2 linked regions of the Tamandua tetradactyla genome follow. The protein of the gene in region 1 purifies or fractionates together with the protein of each later gene. This does not show direct contact. Links are inferred from orthologs where the notes say so. Each region holds a gene or a part of one and is shown in the gene's direction. Other genes may lie near its edges. The genes, in order: ASXL2 and OGT.

Region 1 (10,636 bases):
CAAGCCCCTCCTAACCGGGCTTCCTGCTTCTAACTTCATTTGCCCTCCCTTTCATTCCACTGAATCACAATCTAAAAGTCTCCTCCTTCAAGCCTTGCAGATATGCTCCCCACCCCTAATCCTCATGTCATGTTCCCCTATGCCATTTTGGGACTGTTAGGTCGAGGGAACAGGGAAAGGCACTGCAACTGGAGCTGCAGAGGCTGTGTCACCCCTCCCAACCTGACTTCCGGACCTAATGAACTGCCCCTTCTGGACGTCACCTGACCTCCATCCTTAAAAGCTGCCCGCACCGAAGCCCCCACACTCACCTCCCTCCATCTTGGGTTTGGTGAGCTCTGCCCGGGAGTGCAAAAATACCCCCCCCCCCCCCCACTTTAAATTTCCTGGTCTACCTTTCTTCTTTCTCACCCTTTCGCCTCCTAAACCTTTCAGGGAACTTGTACATACTTTTATGGTTGCATGCATGACAATGTATGGTATTTAATTTGTTTATAAGTTTCTTGCTTTATTTGAGCTGCTTGGGAGTAGGGAATGTGTCTTGTTCATTCACTCATTTATCTATTCATTCATTCCTTAAAAATACCGATTGCAAGGTGCTTTTCTGAGCACTGCGAATATAATAATGAACGTGATAGGCGCAGGCCCTGCCCCCACTGCTTTGCCATCTTTCACTCCTTTCTGGTTTTGGTTCAGTATTTGGCTCGTGATTGAAAGATACTAAATCTGTTTAATTGAATTGGATTTATTTAATTGACTATTTTTAATTAAATTGGATTTCAAGGTCATAGTGCTAGTGTATGGCAGACATTGTCCTTAAAGGAACTGATTCTTGAGAAGTTCCTCAGTTTTCATATTCTCATATAAATTGTCTGGTATATAGCAGACATTCAACAGTCAGTTCCTTTCTTTCCTTTCCTTCTAGGTTCCTCCTGGGCTGGTCACCAAGTAATCTAAATTTTGTTGAATAGGTGAGAAATGGTAATGGCTAGGTATTCATAAGTTCTGTAGGAGAGAAGAAGGGTTGACAAGGTTGCCCTCTTTTCTGACCACGTATAATGTATATGATACTGGGGTGCACGGGTGGTTCAGTGCCAGAATGCTCACCTTCCAAGTGAGAGACCTGGGTTTGATGCCCAGATCACACACACCCCTGAAAAAAAATGAAATGATTAATATATATGATACTACAGCTGCCATTTATTGATGGCTTCCAATGTATGAGTCACTATTCCAAGTACTACTGCATGTATCACCTCATTCACACCTCATAGTAACCCTAGTAGATGAAACTGAGGCTTAAAGAGGTTGAGCAACTTGCCCAAGTTCCTATGAGTAGAAAGTACTTAGGTGGGGGGAATTGTAGCCTTCCCAGTCTGATGCTAGCACCTCTTCCTCTGTGCAGGTGCCTCTCTTGACCTGTATACATTCAGAATCTGTGATTTTGAATGGGATCCCACAGCCTGGCTCCTGGTCATGACCTAGCCCATATCTGAACTACATATTTGTTTTACTCAAAACGAGTTGCTGACTCTTCTAAGGTAGAAAGGGTTCTTTGCAGTTAATTTACCATCAAGTGGCTGATTGGTCCTGTTGAGGATGGTGTCCAATCAGGGGTTCAGCTTTTGACTTTCTTGCTGGTGGGCTGGACATCCAGTAGTAACAATAAGTAGATCAGCCTTGGTGAGTGGGGGGCCAGGCTGTTGTACACATTCACAGCCTCCATTCCTGCCATGATGGCTACCATGTTCATGGATGAATTGGGCAAGCCCTGGAGTGGCCATTGATAAAGGTTGACTGATGTCAACTGACAGAATCATTGTGTCCACTTATTTTCTTAGTGCTTCATCCCTAATGGATACTTTCTAGTGAGCATTAACATTTGATATAAAGCCCTAGCTGCAAGAGAGATTGGAGTTTTCAATTTCTAAAGTAGATGGGAAATTTCCAAATAGAGGAAGGGGGCTCAGATACTAGTAGCTAAAAAGAATGTCTATCCTCCCCTCTTTTTTTTTTTCTTTTCCATCAAATGGGATCATAGTATGCATATGATTCTAAACCTTGTCTTTTTTATATTAATATTTATTAGCTGCCTTTCTACTAATGAGTAATAAAGTGTGTACTAGGATGTTCATCTCAGCATTGTTTATAATAGAAAAATTGGGAAAACATGGAGATTAGTTAAAATTGTTGTCCATTATTCACACAGGAATATATAGCTATTTTTAATGCAGTTTTATTGAGACATTCACATAACGTATAATCCTTCTAAAGTATACACAGTATCATCACATAGTTGTGCATGCATCACCACAATCAATTTTAGAACATTTTCATTACTCAACAATCAAACAAACAAACAAACAAACAAGAAACATCCCATGTCCCTCGTCCCCCCCATATTACTGACCCCCAGCATGGGTGTGGTACATTTGTTATTGTTGATGAAAGAATATTAAAATATTACTGTTAAATATAGGTCATAGTTTACAATAAGTGCATTTCCCCACATGCTTCTCCTTTATTAACTCCTTATAAAAATGATGTACATTTGTTCTCAGTCATGAAAGAACATTTTTATATGTGTGCTGTTAATTACAGTCATCAACCACCACAGGGTTCACTGGGTAATAGAGTCCCATGTTTTAACCTCTAGCTTTCCTTCTAGTGGCATACACTTCCCCATTCCACCACAATCCCATGCACATAATTCAGCGCTGTTTATTACGTTTACCATAATGTGCTTATTATGTGTTTATTACTCTCACCATAATGTACTACCATCACCTGTGTCCATTTCCAAACATTTACATTCAACCTAGTTAGAAATGCTGCACACATTAAGCATCTACTCCCTTTCTTTAGCCTCATTCTATCTCCTGGTGACCTATATCCTAGATTTAATCTCTATGAATTAATATATTATGATATTTTATATAGCTATTTAAAATTATACTATATGTTGGAATCTGAGGTGTCAACCAGTCCAATCTGCCCAAATTTAGAAAAAAAAACAACTGAGAGATATCTACAGGAGGCAAGCAGGTGGAAATGAAGATGTCACCTTCATAACGAAAAAACCATTGAAGATAAAATGGGTGGTGAGGGTCAAACGTGCTTGCTAGAACTTAAGATAACCCATCTGAGTGAAAGTCTGAGTCTCCAAAGGAGACATCTTTAATAAGGTTCAGTAACTCACACTGTCCCAGGGTGAAGGAGAAAAAGCAAAGGAAGTGAATTCTTTGTGCTGATGGCCTTTTAATAGATTTGCTTTGACAATGAAGAAACTAGACCTATGATTGCCACTCCCAATCATTGCTTTTCAGGTTAGGGCATGTGTAAGGGGTAGAGCAAGAAGCCAGGACAACTCCTCTAAAACATGGAAATATGAGGTGTGTTGTATTAACATCTCCCCTGACATTACAGGTTCATATTTCTCAAAATGGAAATAGAGTCTGTAATATATTTTAAGTATAAAAATATGATTACATAGCATGCATAATATACTTTTCTTTTTATAGAAAGATGTATGTGTATTTAAATATATATATAATTGTGTCATCCTATACATGCTATTTTATTGTAAGCAAAATATGAAAATGATCTGGGTGATGTCTAGGTAGTGGAATTAAAATTTTCTTTTTTATAATTTGTAACAGACCCTATTCTGCCTTGCCCAGACCCCCTTCTGTTGCACGTATCCTTCAGCTGCTGTAAGTACTGGTAACTAGGTGTTCGCAGCTGCAACCTTCTCCAGAGAGTTGCCCTTGGTCACCAAGAGGCATCCTTCCTGGAAATGTTTGGGTTGCAATGAACCCTGTCCCTCGAGAAGAGAGCCTCCATTTAAGACTGTTTGCTAAGAGGAGACAAAAGCTCAGTCTTTTACTTCAAAGTTGAGTAATTCTGTGGGACCATTTAGGCTCAAGAGCTCCTGGTGATATCAGGCTGGGGCTGGACATCTTTGCTTAGCTTCTTTCCTTGTCTCTCATGCTTCCTTCACATCCTTACATATTTCTCCTGAGAGCATGCTGATAAATTACTTGCACAAGGAGTTGAGATTCAGTACCTGCTTCTGTACAACCAACATATATCTGTGGGATTTTTACAATGAGAAATCTTATAAACAGGGAACTCACTATTTTTATTATTATTATTTTTAAGTGCCTTTCTTGCTTTTTGTGTGTGTGTGTGCTTGGGCAGGCTGTGGGACTCGTACCCGGGTCTCTGGCAGGCGAGAATTTTACCACTGAGCTACCATCACACCGCCTCAGGGGTCACATTTCATTGTTTTTCCCTGTGAGTATCCTGTTACTGCTGCACTATTTGTTGAAGTTTTGCTTTTTTTTTGTTTGTTTTTGGGAAGTGCATGGACTGGGAATCTAACCTGGGTTTCCTGCATGGCAGGCGAGAATTCTACCACTGAACTACCCTCACACTCTCTGACTTCGTTCCTTTTTATGGCTGAATAATACTCCATTGTACAGATATACCACATTTTTGAACCTGCTGGTGGACACTTGGGTTGCTTCCATCTTTTGGGTATCGTAAATAATGCTACCATGAACACTGGTATACAAATATTTGTTCAAGTCCCTGTTTTCAACTCTTTGGGGTATATATTTAGAAGAGGAATTGTTAGGTCATATGGCAACTCTATGTTCAACCTTCTGAAGAATTGCCAAACTGTTTTCCATAGCGGCTGCACCATTTTACACTTAGGTGGAATTTTAAGAAGATAAATCTGGCATCCTTTGAAGGAGGGGCTTGAGTATAGATAAAACATTTAGGAAATTACAGAACTGGAGTGGAAATGATAGAAGAGATGCAACAGGCATAAAATCTGCATGAACAGTCATGGGACTAAAACACTCTTTAGGCAATTATAATTTAATTAAAAAATAAATAATTAAAAAACCCATTCATACTTGTGGAAGATAAAAAAGTAGGTAACGCAATATTGCAATCCTTATCTCCTTTTGAAATTAAAATCTGGGAATAAAACTCCAAAATGCAAAGTAAAGACAGTGGGAGTATCTGGCTGTAGGGACTAAATACAAGTGGGGTAGAGCTGCCATGCCCAGGCAGTAGGGGTGTAAGGTAAGCCCTAGCCAATAACTGGGAGATGGAGAAGGGCTGCTTGAACTGACTTTAGGTCCAGGCTTTGTAGTGGGATGGTAATCACTGTGAGTGTTATGGGTAGTACTGAATTACTAAAGGAATTTATGAAACTATAGCCATATCAATTGCTGAAATGGGGCCGTCTGATCAATGACTAAAGGGGAAATATAAAGAAGATAGCATCTCCAACTCCCACTTAAAATTTTTTTTTCTGTGTAACAAGGCCCCTTTTGAAAAGAAAAAGAAAACCTATGAATCTTCTTCTCAAAAAATGCACATATTAATTTACACACAAAATACCGCCTACGATTTTAGGCGGTTCACCAACTCCTAAAACCCATCCATGAACTCTAAGTTACATATTTTTCTAACCTGCCACTCCTCCAAAGAGGCAGTACTGTGTCCTCAGTTCTATTTCAGTATATAGATTAATTTACTAGACTGTTCCGGGCAGCCTCTGGAACTAGGTGGGTTTGGCAGATCAGTAATTGTCACAGTTTTACTTTGCAAAGTATAAAGACGTGGAAATGGCATGGGAAATGCCACATTCTGGATCTTTCAGAAGGCTGCTACGGACACTACAAATAATGGTTTCTGACGGCAAAATTGAATCACTCGGCAAATATTTGCAGAGCACCTGATATTACAGGCAGTATGCTAGGGACTGGGTTCACATTAGGTAAATGTGACACTGTTTCTATCCTGGATGAGACAATGTACATGTGAAAGCGTGAATGTAATTACTGCCAGTTTTTTTTTTTTTTTTTTAAAGCAGTCTTATTTGGTGGATATGGTTTAAAGAACAAATAGAAAAAAAAGCAATTGACCACATAATACGTCTATTTCCGGAGTCTGTTATGTTTCTTTTTTTTAAAAAAACAACAACATTCTAGAGAGTCAGAAAGGACTTGCAATTTGTTTTTTGGCCTCACATTGTGGACAGGCGCGTATGCCAAGTCACTGGATCTCTCGGTTGCCTCATCAGTCAAACGTAGCTAACACGTAGATGAAAATTGTCGGAAATCTTCAAAATCATTATCTTTATAAAAATGCACTGTAAAATGTGACTAAAAAACAAAAGTACAGGGCTTACTGAAAGTGACAGGCTACCCTAACGGGATGTCTCCAAACTCTTCCACGTCCCCACAACCTGGCACGCGGTAGGGATCTTCCCAATGAGCCTCCACCAACCGATCAAGTTCCGCTTCCGCAGGCCGATTTCGTGATAGGCGTGAGCGTCAGACGCCCGACGCACAGGAGCGTCGGACTCCCTTTTACGCGCATGCTCCTGAAGAGAGGCGGAGACCTGAACGGTTGGGGAGTGGCCAGGCGCCGCGGCCGGCCGGCTCTCCTGCTCCCTCTGCATCCTCCAGCGGGAGGCGGGGGCGCGCGCGGGCTCGTTCGCGCGGCTGGCTGCGTACAGTAGGGACGGCCGCGCGGGAGCGGTCACATGACCGCAGCGGCTGCCTGTACAGTAAGGGCCCAACATGGCAGCGACGGTAGCAGTGGCAACGGCAGCAGGAGGACCGGTCGCCCCATAACCCACCCCGCGCGCCACCCGCGCCGCCTCTGCTTGGGTGCTTCTCCGGCCTGACTTCCCCTTTTTCCCACCTTTCCCGGCATCGCGGGAAAAGCAGCGCAGGGCAGAGAAGGCAGGGAGGGCGGCCGGAGCCCGGACACGGGAGCCACCCAGTCAGTTCAGGACCCGACATGAGGGAAAAGGGCCGTAGGAAGAAGGGCAGGACCTGGGCGGAGGCCGCCAAGACGGTAAGGGGGAGGGAGCGAAAGGGAAGGCCGGGAGGATTTCGTTTCCTTGCCACCCGCTAGTCGCACGGGAAGGGAGGTCACTGTCGCAGCGACCCGGCTGAAGGGGTACAAAACCTCGCGGAGAGGGCGACGGTTAGTGTTGAGGTTGTGATCCCTGTGAAATGGAGGCGCAGCGTAAGGGGGTCGCCGCGGGCTTGTGGTTTGCTCCCAGCGTCAGCGGCATGTCCTTTAGGTGTTCTGAGGCAGTCTGTCGGGGTCAAGTTGTTATCGCCCCGACTCTGGTCGCCCCTGCCCGGCATGGGGAAGTCTGTTGTGCTTACATAGTAACCCGTTTTTCTCCCTTGTGCGGCTCAAAGAGTCCCCATTGGATGCAGATAGGAGAACGCTTGTGCGTGCATTCAGCCCCGGAAAGAGGAGGGGAACGCTTGGAGCCTGATAGAATTTACCGGCTAAAGCAGACTTGCTGCCTAACCTCGGGTCCCCGGTTTATCTGGGCTCTGAGATCCGGCGTGCCATCACGAGGTTTTGTTTTTGTTGCCGTTTGAGCTGAAAGTGCAGGAGGTGTTTAGAAACGAAGTAACAGGTGGGACTTGTAGAATTTTTTTTTTTTCTGTTTCCGTAGAGACCTACTCTGAACAAGGCAGCAATGCATGGTGGGACGTGTAGTTTACTCGGCCTTCACTTTTCCGTAGTGATGGTGGGCCAATGAAGTTGTATTAATTAGTGGGTAAAACTTTGCAAATTTTGTCATCGAATTTTAGAGGTAGGTTTTCAAACATGGAATATTAAGGATTAGTGAGAACTTTTACATCTAAGAAAAAAGTAAAAAGCTTGTATATGTGTAGGAATGAGAATGAAGTTCACTCCGTTCTTGAGTGTGCAACAGAAAAATAATAGAACAGTAAACAGCATTTCAGTGTTGGGAAGTGAGAAGGTGCGGGAGCATTATTTTCTTTCGGGGGATCATTATTTTTAATTATGAATTATACCAGTAATACCTGGACAACTTGCAGAGTCCTTCTTAATGAGACTTTTTTGTACGTTGTGTGGTTTGTTTTTTGAATGAGTTTTTTTTTTTTTTAATATAAAAGCAGTATGTATTCAATTTGGAAAGTTATGGAAAAATATAAAGAAGAAAATAAAATCACTTTTTTCAGCCGTCAGCTACATCTGCTAGCGTTTTGGTTTATTATCTTCTAGTTTTAAAAATGTATTTCCCCAAATCTAGGTTTAAAAATGTATTTCCCCAAATTTGTGCATTGTCTTGTAAACTTTGTGCATTAGGGGGTTGATGAGTCTTAAACTTGTGTTTTTGTTTTAGTTGGCAATATGAAAAAGTTAGTGAAAAAATAATAGTCCTTTTTAAATTAATTGTTTTCACTTACAATATCTCTTCATAATTGTGACTCTTTTGGTAGTTTCTCTCTAAAAGATAAAACTATAGAAATAATTTTTGATGTGGCAGGGAGCTTGCTTCTCCACAAAAGACTATTTTACCTGTACTTGAGGGAGACCTCAAGAATCTTCTTTTTTTTTTTTAATTGATATATATTTTTTATTAATTAAAAAAATTAACTAACACAACATTTAGAAATCATTCCATTCTGCATATGCAATCAGTAATTCTTAATATCATCACATAGATGTATGATCATCATTTCTTAGTACATTTTCATCGATTTAGAAAAAGAAATAGCAAGACAACAGAAAAAGAAATAAAATGATAATAGAGAGAGAAAAATAAAAATAAAAAATACAAAAAATATATATAAAAAACAAAACAAACAAAAAAAACTATAGCTCAGATGCAGCTTCATTCAGTGTTTTAACATAATTACATTACAATTAGGTAGTATTGTGCTGTCCATTTTTGAGTTTTTGTATCCAGTCCTGTTGCACAGTCTGTATCCCTTCAGCTCCAATTACCCATTATCTTACCCTATTTCTAACTCCTTATGGTCTCTGTTACCAATGACATATTCCAAGTTTATTCTCTAATGTCGGTTCACATCATTGGGACCATACAGTATTTGTCCTTTAGTTTTTGGCTAATCTCACTCAGCATAATGTTCTCTAGGTCCATCCATGTTATTACATGCTTCGTAAGTTTATTCTGTCTTAAAGCTGCATAATATTCCATCGTATGTATATATCTACTTCTTAGATATCTATGTATCTACTTCTTATTTTATACTGTTCTTGGTACCTGCATTGTACGCTAACCTGTTTTAAGGGCATATTAAAACAGGGTGGTGTTTCTGACCAGTAATATAGCAACAAATAATTGAATTTGTTTAAATAAGATAGATACTGTGTATATGTGAGTATGTTTCGTATGTGAGAGAGATACATGGGTTTATGTAAAGAATCTTCTTCATGCTATTAAAAGAAGCATGTCAAATTTTAATTATAGGTAAGCAGACTCCACCCTAATTATGCTATTTATGTTGTCTCTAGACTTCTAGAGTATTTTTTTGATTAATCTAATGATTGTAAAATTGTGACAAATAGTAAAAACTAGTCTGCATGTGTTAAAATTTTCCTACAGTTAGCTCATTTGCACATTTGTAATTGACATTTCATGCCCTAGTTAGCCATGTGAAAAATATTAGTTAAAAGGTAGAAAGGCTAGTTTGATCAGTGAAGTTCTGAAAGAATTTATTGTGGCTTGGCATTTTTATTTGATTCTGGCAAATATAAAAGATCTCAATATAAATAAAAGTGAAGTTTAGAAAGAAGATGATGATGCTAAAACTTGTCTTTTTCCCCCCCTTTCTAGAGAATACCCTCTTTTTTGGGTTGTTTGATCATGTGTAAAATGAGATTAACTTAACCTCAGGGTTTAGAAGAATTCTGTTTGTAGGAGGAATAGATAAAAGTAAGTGTAGACAGAAGCATATCTTTAATATTTCAGACTGCAGAATGAGATCAGAAAATTGACAAACGAAAGTAACTTTGACCTAAATTAAGAAGTGATGCAGATATTTAGAAGATCAAGAGGACTAGGAGAGTGGGTTAAATTTATTTCAAGGGCATTAAAGGCAAGTGTTCTAGGAACAGTTTCAGCAAGGAAATAATAAAATTATTTACAAATATAGGCAGTATCTACTTCTTATTTTATACTATTCTTGGTACCTGCATTGTACGCTAACCTGTTTTAAGGGCATATTAAAACAGGGTGATGTTTCTGACCAGTAATATAGCAACAAATAATTGAATTTGTTTAAATAAGATAGATACTGTGTATATGTGAGTATGTTTCGTATGTGAGAGAGATACATGGGTTTATGTAAAGTTTATAAGCAATTTTAAAAATTAAAATAATGACTTGTAATTATTTATGAATTCTATAGTATGTGTTAATTATGCCAAAAGACTGAAAAAACGTACTTAAATGTAGACTACAGATTAGTTTCAGTAACTAAGAAAACCAAAAAAAGAAATAATGAAGCTGATATTCAACTGGGCTTGAATGCTCATTGACTATTGGACTGTAGCTTTATTGATCGTAAATTTAACTTGTTTAAATACTCTAGTAATAAAAAGCATTATTCAGGTATTTAGTTAATAGTTTCATGTGTGTTAAAATTTAAGGGCAGCAGTGGTGGTGGTGGTGGTGATGATGAAATGATTAGGATGAGAAAGGTGTAGTGTAGTGTTTAGTTTTTTATTCTGAAAAATTTGTGTAAGCCGGAGATATAGAGAACCATTACATTGACTCTAGAACCATGTTCAAAGTTGGCCTAATTCT
Region 2 (9,871 bases), on another chromosome or scaffold:
GATGGTAACATATTTTATCACTTAATACTCTACTGTATTGTTCTCTAGTGGCTTTTTCTATCTACTTAACTAAGCTTCAAATTCCTTGAGGGTGAGAACTTGGTCTCGTTCTTTTTTGAATCCCCCACAAGTGCTTTGTACATAGAGGCTCTAGTGTTATTTGAGTGAGGGTGGGCTTGATTAGTATGTTTTTCAAACTAACCCCCCCAGAAGTTATTCCTGGAAAGTACCTAGAATTGGGTTCCTGAGACTCTGACAAGGGGTTTTCTTTTTGTTTTTGCTTCTTACTTTCAATTTTGAAATACATTTAAACTTATAGGACAGTTGCAAAAATACTACATACCCCATTCAGGTAATATATCCGTACTGCTCCCCCCCCATACCCAGATCCACCAATTTTAACTTTTTTGCCACATTTGCCATATTATGCTATCTATCTATTTATTTATGATAGATAGATTTTTTTATGAACACTTGAATGTAAGTTGTATACATCATGTTCATTGAACACTTTACTTCCATGTATATTCCTTAAGAACAAGGATACTCATTTATGTCACCACCTTACATACATGTATCAAGTTTAAGCAATTTAACACTGATAAAAAGCTTATACTCTTTATTCCAATTTTTTCATGTGTCCCAATAATGTCCCATTGACATTTTTTCTCCTCCCTTGTTAGATCCCATTCAGGATAATGTATTGCATTTAATTGTCATTGTCACTTTAGTTGCTCTTTCTTTTTTCCTTTTTTTTTGTGGGATCATCTATACAACATAAACTTTCCCATCTCAGCAACTACCACACATACATTCATTGAGATTAATCATAATCACAATATTGCAGTACCCTTACCACCTTTCGTTACTAGAATTTCCCATCTCCCCAAACAGAAATCCTACACCCATTATACATCAACTCTCCATTCTCCCTACCCTTCACCTCACCTTGGCAATCTGTATGCTAATTTCTGTTTCTATGAGTTTACATATTCTCCAATATTTTCTTTGTAGTTACCATGGGGCTTAAATTTAACATCCTAAATCTATATCAATCTTGTTTGCTTTGATACTGACAACTTCAATAGTACATGCAAACTATGTTCCTATACTCTTCTGTACCTCCACTTTTATGTAGTTCTTGTCACAAGCTACATTTTTATATGTTATGAGTCCAAAACCACTGATTAATCATTACCTTTTATGCATCTGCCTTTCAGATCCTGTAGGAAGTAAAAAGCGAAGTTACAAACCAAAAATAAAATAGTACTAGAATTTATATTTACTCATGTTATTACCCTCACTGGAGATCTTTATTTCTTCCTGTGGCTTCAATCTATGGTCCATTATCTTTTCCTTTCAACCTATAGAACTCTTTTAGCATCTTTTGTAGGGCCTGTCTGGTGGTGATGAATTCCCTCAGCTTCTGTTTGTCTGGGAATGAGTTAATCCCTCCTGTTCTAGTTTGCTAGCTGCCAGAATGCAATATACCAGAAACAGAATGGCTTCTAAAAAGAGGAATTTTATAAGTTGTTAGTTTACTGTTCTAAGGCCGAGGTAATGTCCCAATTAAAGCAAGTCTACAGAAATGTCCAATCAAAGACATCCAGAGAAAGACACCTTGGTTCAAGAAGGCCGATGAAGCTCATGGAGAACACAGTCACAGTTTCTCTCTCGGCTGGAAGGGCACATGGTGAGCAAGGCATTATCTGCTAGCTTTCTCTCTGGGCTTCCTGTGTCATGAAGCTCCCTGGGAGGCATTTTCCTTCTTCATCTCCAAAGGCCGCTGGCTTGTGGGCTCTCTGCTTCTCGTGGCTATGTCATTCTGCTCTGCTCTCTCTGACTCTCTTATTCTCCAAAATGCTTCCTCTTTTATAGGACTCCAGTAAACCAATCAAGACCCACTCAAATGGGTGGAGACACATCTCCCCTAATCCAGTTTAACAACCACTCTTGATTAGTTTACATCTCCAGGGAGATGATATAATTACAAACAGTATTGAACAGGGATTTTTCTGCATCTACGAAATGGGATTTTGATTAAAACATGGCTTTTCTAGGGTACATACATCCTTTCAAACCAGCACATCTCTCTTATTTCTGAAAGACAGCTTTGCCAGATACAAAATTCTTGGTTGGCAATATTTTTTGCTTTCAGCACTTTAAACATGTCACCCCACTGCCTTCTTGCCTCCATGGTTTCCAATGAGAAATTTGCACTTAATCTTATTGAGGCTCCCTTGTACCATGACTTGTTGCTTCTCTTTTGTGGCTTTCAAAATACTCTTTTTATCGTTGGCATTCAACAGTTTGATTATAGTATGTCTCAGCAGGGGTTTATCATGTTTAGAATTTGTTGAGCTTTTTGGATGTGTATATTTATGTCTTTTGTTAAATTTGAAGTTTGCAGCTATTACTTCCTGAAATATTCTCATTGTCCCTTTCTCTTTTCTCCCTCTGGGATTTCCACAATGCATAGTTAGTATGCCTGATGGTGCCCCACAGGTTCCTCAGGCTCTGTTTGTTTTTCTTCATTCTTTCTTCCTTCTGCTCCTCAGACTGGATGATTTCCATTGTCTTATCATTAAATTCCCTGATTATTTCTTCTGCCAGCTCCAATCTGTTGAACCCTTCTAGAAATTTTTAAACTTCTGTTATTATGGTCTTCTGCTCTGGATTGATGCGTTTTCATAATTTCCATCTCTATATTGATATTTTTTGTGTTCCCCTATTGCTTTCCTGATTTCCTTTAGTTCCTTGTTCATGTTTGCCTTTAGGTCTTTGAGAATATTTGGGACCATTTTTAAAAAGTTTTTGTCTGGTGTGTCCCAGGTCTGGTCCTCCTCACTGATGGTATCTAATGCTTTAATCTTCTTTACCTGGGCCATTGCTTGCTGTTTCTTTTATGTTTTGTAATCTTTTCTGAAACTTGGACATTTGATATTTTAATGTGTTATCTCTGAAATTTAAACTCTAGGCATCTGCTCCTTCAAATTTTATCCAACTAGTGTTATGACTGAGTTTTCCTTGAATGGCAGGACCTAACAAAAAAAAAAAAGCAGGGGGAGGGGGAAGAAGGAAAAAAAGAAAACACCTTTCCCAGACTTTGCAGATTGACCTGTGCAAGTGCCTTCCTTTGGGGTTTATCTATACAATGGGATGTATGGGAATAGCTGAAGGCTAAAGCATAGGGGCCTTACAGACTCTTTCTGCACCTGTGTCTTGTCTGGGGCATGCACGTATGGCCCTAGGAATTCCCTTGTTTACTGGGTTAGGAATGTCCCCTCTCCCCTATGAAACAGTTTCCTCAGGGTCCGGGACTACATTGTCTGTCCTACAGCCCGTGATCCCTTGCCTCAGGCAGCAGGATTTGACTGTTTTCCCACAGCAATCTGTGGGAGAGCTCTGTGAGCTGCCTTCTACACACAGCGCAAGTTCTGGAGCACTGAGACGCTCAGACCACCACCAGATAGACTGAAACAAAACAGACATGCTCCCAGCATGTGCACCGGGGCGGGCCGCCCTCTCTCTCAAGAACTGGGACTCGGATTCACACTGAGCGAATGGCCCACCAACTCCGCTGCTTAGCCAGTGAGGGGTAGGGGGAGGTTCCAGCCAGGGAAAGAGGATATCCAACCGCTTTTTAAGTGGCCCTTTTCTTGATTCCATGCTTACCCTGTTACTGCATGTTACTACAATCCTTTAACTGATTTCTGGAGCCCTAAGAAAGATGTTTTCATCAGGGGATTTTCTCTAGTGAGCCACTGTGAGCCCCACCTTCCAGTTTTGCATGGTAGCAAAACGTATCATAACATCTTCGGACTCTTCTCTCAGGATAGGGAACTTTAAACCACAAGTATGGATGGGCCAAATGATTGGGAGCATGACCTGGCATTTAACAACAATAAGAGTTTGGCTTAATTGGCTAGCACCCACTAATCAGTAAGGCCTAAACATCTGCCAGTGGAATTTGAGAAGTCTGGTTTAAAAGTTGAAAAGCTGAGTTTATTCACCACATATGGGGCACTGGTAGTGGGAGGGGAAGCACCATCAACAAAAGCCCAATTTCTAGGAGAGTTTGTGCAGTGAACTTTGTCTTTTTTACTGCGTGATGTTACTCTTGATTACGGGATGGAAGAAATTACCAACATTATGATACTTACAGGGCTGAGAATTATTCTCTGTGCTCATATCCATAATTAACAGTTTGTGGACTGTCTGGAAGAAATTGAAGCGTTGCTCAAGGACTTTCTTTCTTTTTTAACGTAGTAGAAACTTTTTGAAGAAATTCACTGACCTGTTTTCTTAGATCAAGGACTAAACAAAATGGCACAGAGACTCAACTTGTTACCTCCAGTGGCTTATAATAGTTTCTTGCTGATAGGAAAAGCTACCTTAAATCCTTTCTAGAACAAACTATGAGGTATAAATGAATACTAATGTTACAAAATATCTAATCAGTGGACTTGAGACTCAGGAGGATTTGTAAGAGCTCATTTGCTTATGGAAGTGGAGGTAATTCAGACTCAAATTACATGTGTGGTGCAGATAAATGGCAAGTGAATTCATTTATCATTTCTGAATTGCATCAAGCGCAATGCAATCACAGATTGTGAGGATTTGCAGACCTATTTTGTGGAAATGAAGTCACAACTCAGAAGAGAGTCAGATTTTGAACGGTAGGAATCATATTTAAGTAGGAATCATATTTAACATTTTATGGCTGCCTTTGGGGTGCGAACTGTAAGGTTGTCCCTGAGTTAATTATCTACCCTATTGCTGTAGGCAGAACTATTCTGAATATCAAAACTATTTGGAAATTTCGGGCTATATAGCCAAAATCTGAGATGTTTGGGTTCATTTGGCCATGCGAATGTATCAGTCTTTTTTCATCAAAACGTTTGAATCAATTGCTGGAGTCAGAATTATGACGTGTTCAAATTGGAAAAGCTTCCCCCAACGTTTTGACGAACAGTTCAATCTTCAAAAATTCAATCACAATTTTATTTGTTTGGAATCGATGCACGACTAGTAATTCTCAGCCTTGTAAGTATTCATTTTCGTATGAATAAAGCTGATGTAAACTTTTTAAGCCTCCTTTGACATTTCTATTAAAATCTACATTATTGGCTAGGTAACAGGTTACACTTGGCACTTTTCACTTTGGCAAAAATGGATGCGCTTTTTAAACCTTCTGCTTCACTATTTAAAAACAAAACGAAACCAAACCAAACGAAACGAACAAAACAAAACTTGGACGCTCCTGCCCTAGACGGTGCCCTAGCCAGCCCGAGTCAGGTTGACAGGGTTGCTCGCATGCGCTGTCGACGCAATCGTGTTTGTCGCAATGGGCCCTGCGCGGAAGGTTACACAATAGCAAGCGACTTTGATTATAGTCATTTTGTCTGTAGCGCTGGTTACCGCGCTACCTCCGCACTGGTACTTGATTGTAACAGAAAGTAGTTCCGGCCCGTGTTGTTTCGGCCGAGGAGCAGTAGCCGCCATTTCAAGACTGTGAGAGGTAGATAGCTAACTATAGTTCCTAAGGTTCGAAGTCTGTAACTGCTGCCGCTGTTTAAGCCTTCCAAAGTACTGGTACTGTTGTTGCCCTCTTACCACTACCTCCAGAAACATTCTTGCTAGTAGCGGCGGCAGCGGGACCCACTTACCCCTCCTCGCCCTCCCCCAAGAAGCTCCAGATGGCGTCTTCCGTGGGCAACGTGGCCGACAGCACAGGTACCAGTGTCCCGTTCTACCTTGGCAGACGCCCCTTCGGGGTCTCGTGCTGTTTCCCCCCTCTCCTCCTTCCCTCCCTTCTAGCCACCCTCGTTGCATCAGTGGTATTGCGTTAGCTTGTCGTGGTCTACCGGCATCTGATGGGTTTTTCCTCCGTCTTCTCCTCCTTAAGCATTTCTTCCTCCTTCCTTTCTCGCTTGTTTTCTGCTTCCTTGTTCCCCTTTTCAATCCCATAAATGTTCTAGCCTTCTACACTCTCGGGACACTTCTCCCACCAGTGCGCTGTAAGGATGTCTCGGAACGGACTGCGTTGGAATCCCTGCCCTTTCACTGTCCTTCCCAACCATTTTCTGCCCTCATTCCAGCTCACCGCTCGCTGCTCTTCCCTCTCCACGGCCCTTTCCAACCCTTTCAAGCCCTTAACCCGATTTGGGTTGTCAGTCTACGGCAGGGGTGCCATTCCGATGTAAACGCATCCCCATTTTGCAGCACCCAAGGACGAGCGAAAGCTCGCCGATGTGCTTACAAGGAACCTCGAGAAAACGGGACCTTGAGTAAGCAGCACCCCGCTGAGGCAGCTGCGCCTTTCTAGTCTGCTTTCGGTCGAGTGGGGGCCCGGTCTGGATTGGAAATTTCCAGGCGTTCTCTGCAATCGCCCAAATCCGCACGCTGCCCCCCCACCCCCACAGCCTGCCTTGCCATCCAGTGCCCCCTCCGCTCCCCTCCCGCAGGGAACCACACCCTTCCCTTCGCGACGTTGCCAGCCCTGCGGTCCAGTTTCTATCCTTGGGGCAGAAACCACCCCGGTGCTATTGCTTTGGTGTTGACCGCACTGCGTTCGGGAATCTCGCTTTGTTGTGACTTTCTCCTTGTATTCCTCCGCCGCCGCCTTCTGGGTCTTCCATCCCCATTCTTTAGCCTCGCATCTCCTTATTCACAGGGTGGATCTCTCTCTCTCTTTTTTTTAATATATATTTTAAGTTTTCATCCCTGCTTGAAGAGTTTGTAAAGCCACTGGAGTGTAGCTGCACAAGTGCCAGGCGGTTGCCCGTTTAGATAATCGAGTCGAGAGCATTTTGTGTTCAAAATTTACAAAACATCCAAATTGTAGGAGTTTCGCTTCGGCTGCCTTTCCCCATAGGGGCTATTTGGGGAGGAGGAAGGAGGAGAGGATTGGGCCGCGGTCCTGATATTTCCCACGAGGTTATTTTTTGATATTTCTCGGTTGATATGTGTAGAGGGTTTTTATTATTTTTGGACATTGGACGGTAAATGATAAATGGATCTTCAATTCCCTGTTATCCATAATTATAGGTAGTGAGATTAATAAATAGTCACTGTTCTACCCCTCCTCCCCACAGTGATTTTTAAAGATAAAAGATTCTGCACTTGCTTGCCTTTTTTTGTGTGTTTTATTTGAGGTAGTCGTCATTTCAAGTGTTAAAGTTAGCAGAGGAGCCACTTGGAAAAGTGATAAAGTAATGCATTAAATTAAGGAGCTAGGAAGGTCTAGAGACTTCTCTAAAATGTAATTTTCTGTGCTCTTGAAGAGAAAGTCTCCCCATTTCGATACAGGTCTCTCTGCTTTTACGTATACATGGTCAGCGGTACATTCTGTCAGGAAATTTACTTTGCTTTCCTTAGTATCCAGAACACACTTTAATGATCGAGAAGTGAGACTCCAATTTGAGTTTGTCTCTGTGTCCTTGGTGGAGTTTAGGTAATTTCCTTAGTTTCCCAATCCAACAATCTATGCATGTTTGTGGGAGTGCTATGGTCAAATTTCCGATAATATATCATCACTGTTTAAATAAGTATTTACAATGAAGACTTAGGCCTTGTTTGTTTTTCTCTCTCTAGGCCTTAACTATATTCTTATCTTTGTACCTAAATTAAGTCACCTGCATACAGCAAAGGCTTTTATTTATTGTTTATTCTGTTGAGCTTTAACAAATGTTATATATTTTAGTATTTTCCCATTTTTTTAAAATTATTATAGTTGTAGGTAACTGCCTGGTTTATATAGAATTGTTTACAATACCTTGATTCTTTAGTCAGTGCCACAGCACTTTGGAAAATGCTAGTGTTAAACCAGTGTGGGTGGGATTTCGCTAACTTAGTATCTTTGTGAGTTTGGGTTGGTAGAGGAGTAATGTAACTCTGGGTCTTTATTTAAAATGTTTATGACCCCTTTAAAATATTTTAGCTCTTGACAGATGGATTTATCTTGTTTATCAGCTATTTTAAAAATAGCACCTGACTTTGAGTTTTTTCCTTTTGCTTCTTTCTAGTGTTGCCCTTGCTTAAAAATATATATATTATGAACTAAACAAACACATCAATATAAAGAGTAAAAACAAAATAAATATCTGAGTCCCCACCTAGGTTAGATGGTTACCAGTTATCCACTCCTTTACGCCTACCAAATCCAACCTAAAACATGATGGAAAGTATTGTTTCTCAGATGGTTGTTCTGACATTACTAAATCTTTATCACCTTTCAAAATCACGTTTTATACTTTGTTTCTATATGTTAACTAAGGTATAAGGAATAATGTTTAGTTACTCTTTAAATGTTACCTACATTTAACATTTATAATGTTATAAATGAGTTTATAATTTAAGAGTACAAAAAATATTTTTGTACTCTTGTTCAAAAAATGTAATATAGTTTGAAAGTAAATATTCCTATCTAGTTTGGGAAAGAAAGTATTAATGGATGAATTCTGAAAATGCCAATTCTGCACCTGTTAACTTGGGGGTACAAATAACATGCAGAACACTCTAGTGCTTTACATAGTTTCAAGCATTTTTCATCTTTAAGTTTAATATACCATATTTTTACATTTTTTTGTTTGCATTTCTAACTTTTTGTTTCCCCCCTCCCTCCCTCAAATGTTTTGATGATTCTCCAGAACCAACGAAACGTATGCTTTCCTTCCAAGGGTTAGCTGAGTTGGCACATCGAGAATATCAGGCAGGAGATTTTGAGGCAGCTGAAAGACACTGCATGCAGCTCTGGAGACAAGAGCCTGACAATACTGGTGTGCTTTTATTACTTTCATCTATACACTTCCAGTGTCGAAGGCTGGACAGGTAGGAGATGTTGGGATACCTGCTGGTGATTGCTGCCTCTGGGTGCTGAGCTTGAGAAATGATACTTAAATATTTGAACTTGAAGTTTTTCCAGTATTGGGTTTCAAGTGAGCCACCAACACACATCTGCTCTTTTGCCTACTTGTGACGTGTGGCAGTCCAGCTGCCAGTTTTTCTGCCTCTTTTTGTGGTGGTGGTTATATTATCTGTATGAATAGGTACCTTTTCTAAACTTTACCACCTGAGTCTACAGCTTTCTTAACTGTATTCAGGTAATAAATTATTCTTAGTGTAAAATATGTTAGCCAAGGGATTAAAATGCTCAGAAGTGATGGTGTATATACTGTGGTAGGAGATACATTGTGCCTCAAGTTGCAAACAGTGCCATTACTGCTTTACAAGATGTTACTTTTAGCTCATCAGTTGAATTAATCAAAAGGAAGCATTTTGTGACCTTGTCTTTTCTAATAAATTGTCTCTCTGGTTCACTTAGACATTTAAAGACATAGCAAGAATTTTATCTCATAAGAAAAAAAGAGCTTTCTGAGTTGAAATCTGAAATCCCTCTACTTTTGAACAACTTTTGTTTCCAAAAATTTTCTTACTGTGCACTAGTGAAAAGATTGTTCCATGACTAGCAATTGCAAGGGATCTTCAGAAACTGTTTGAGTTGCATGTGGGCCGTACCTTCTTCCTGTAACATGAATACCCATGCATCAACACTTTTCGCCTTTTCCAGATCTGCCCACTTTAGCACATTGGCAATTAAACAGAATCCCCTTCTGGCAGAAGCCTATTCAAATTTGGGGAACGTGTACAAGGAAAGAGGGCAGTTGCAGGAAGCAATTGAGCATTATCGACATGCATTGCGTCTCAAACCAGATTTCATCGATGGTTATATTAACCTGGCAGCTGCATTGGTAGCGGCAGGCGACATGGAAGGGGCAGTACAAGCTTATGTCTCTGCTCTTCAGTACAATCCTGTGAGTAAAATTTTAATGGTTATCATTCTCCCTTTAGGGAATCCCAGAAAGAAACA

Evidence for each region.
Region 2: the proteins of ASXL2 (region 1) and OGT purify together in Homo sapiens (affinity purification with mass spectrometry; 3 studies listed by BioGRID and IntAct, with this or other methods). This does not show direct contact. The link is inferred for Tamandua tetradactyla from reciprocal best matches to the Homo sapiens genes ASXL2 and OGT.

What each region holds. Positions count from the first base shown.
Region 1 is NC_135329.1:9,592,089-9,602,724, reverse strand, and holds the start of ASXL2 (putative Polycomb group protein ASXL2), read left to right. Parts: upstream 1-6,544; 5' UTR 6,545-6,828; coding exon 6,829-6,885; intron 6,886-10,636.
Region 2 is NC_135353.1:99,920,539-99,930,409, reverse strand, and holds the start of OGT (UDP-N-acetylglucosamine--peptide N-acetylglucosaminyltransferase 110 kDa subunit), read left to right. Parts: upstream 1-5,474; 5' UTR 5,475-5,699; coding exon 5,700-5,736; intron 5,737-8,651; coding exon 8,652-8,832; intron 8,833-9,571; coding exon 9,572-9,815; intron 9,816-9,871. UniProt on the Homo sapiens protein: Catalyzes the transfer of a single N-acetylglucosamine from UDP-GlcNAc to a serine or threonine residue in cytoplasmic and nuclear proteins resulting in their modification with a beta-linked N-acetylglucosamine (O-GlcNAc).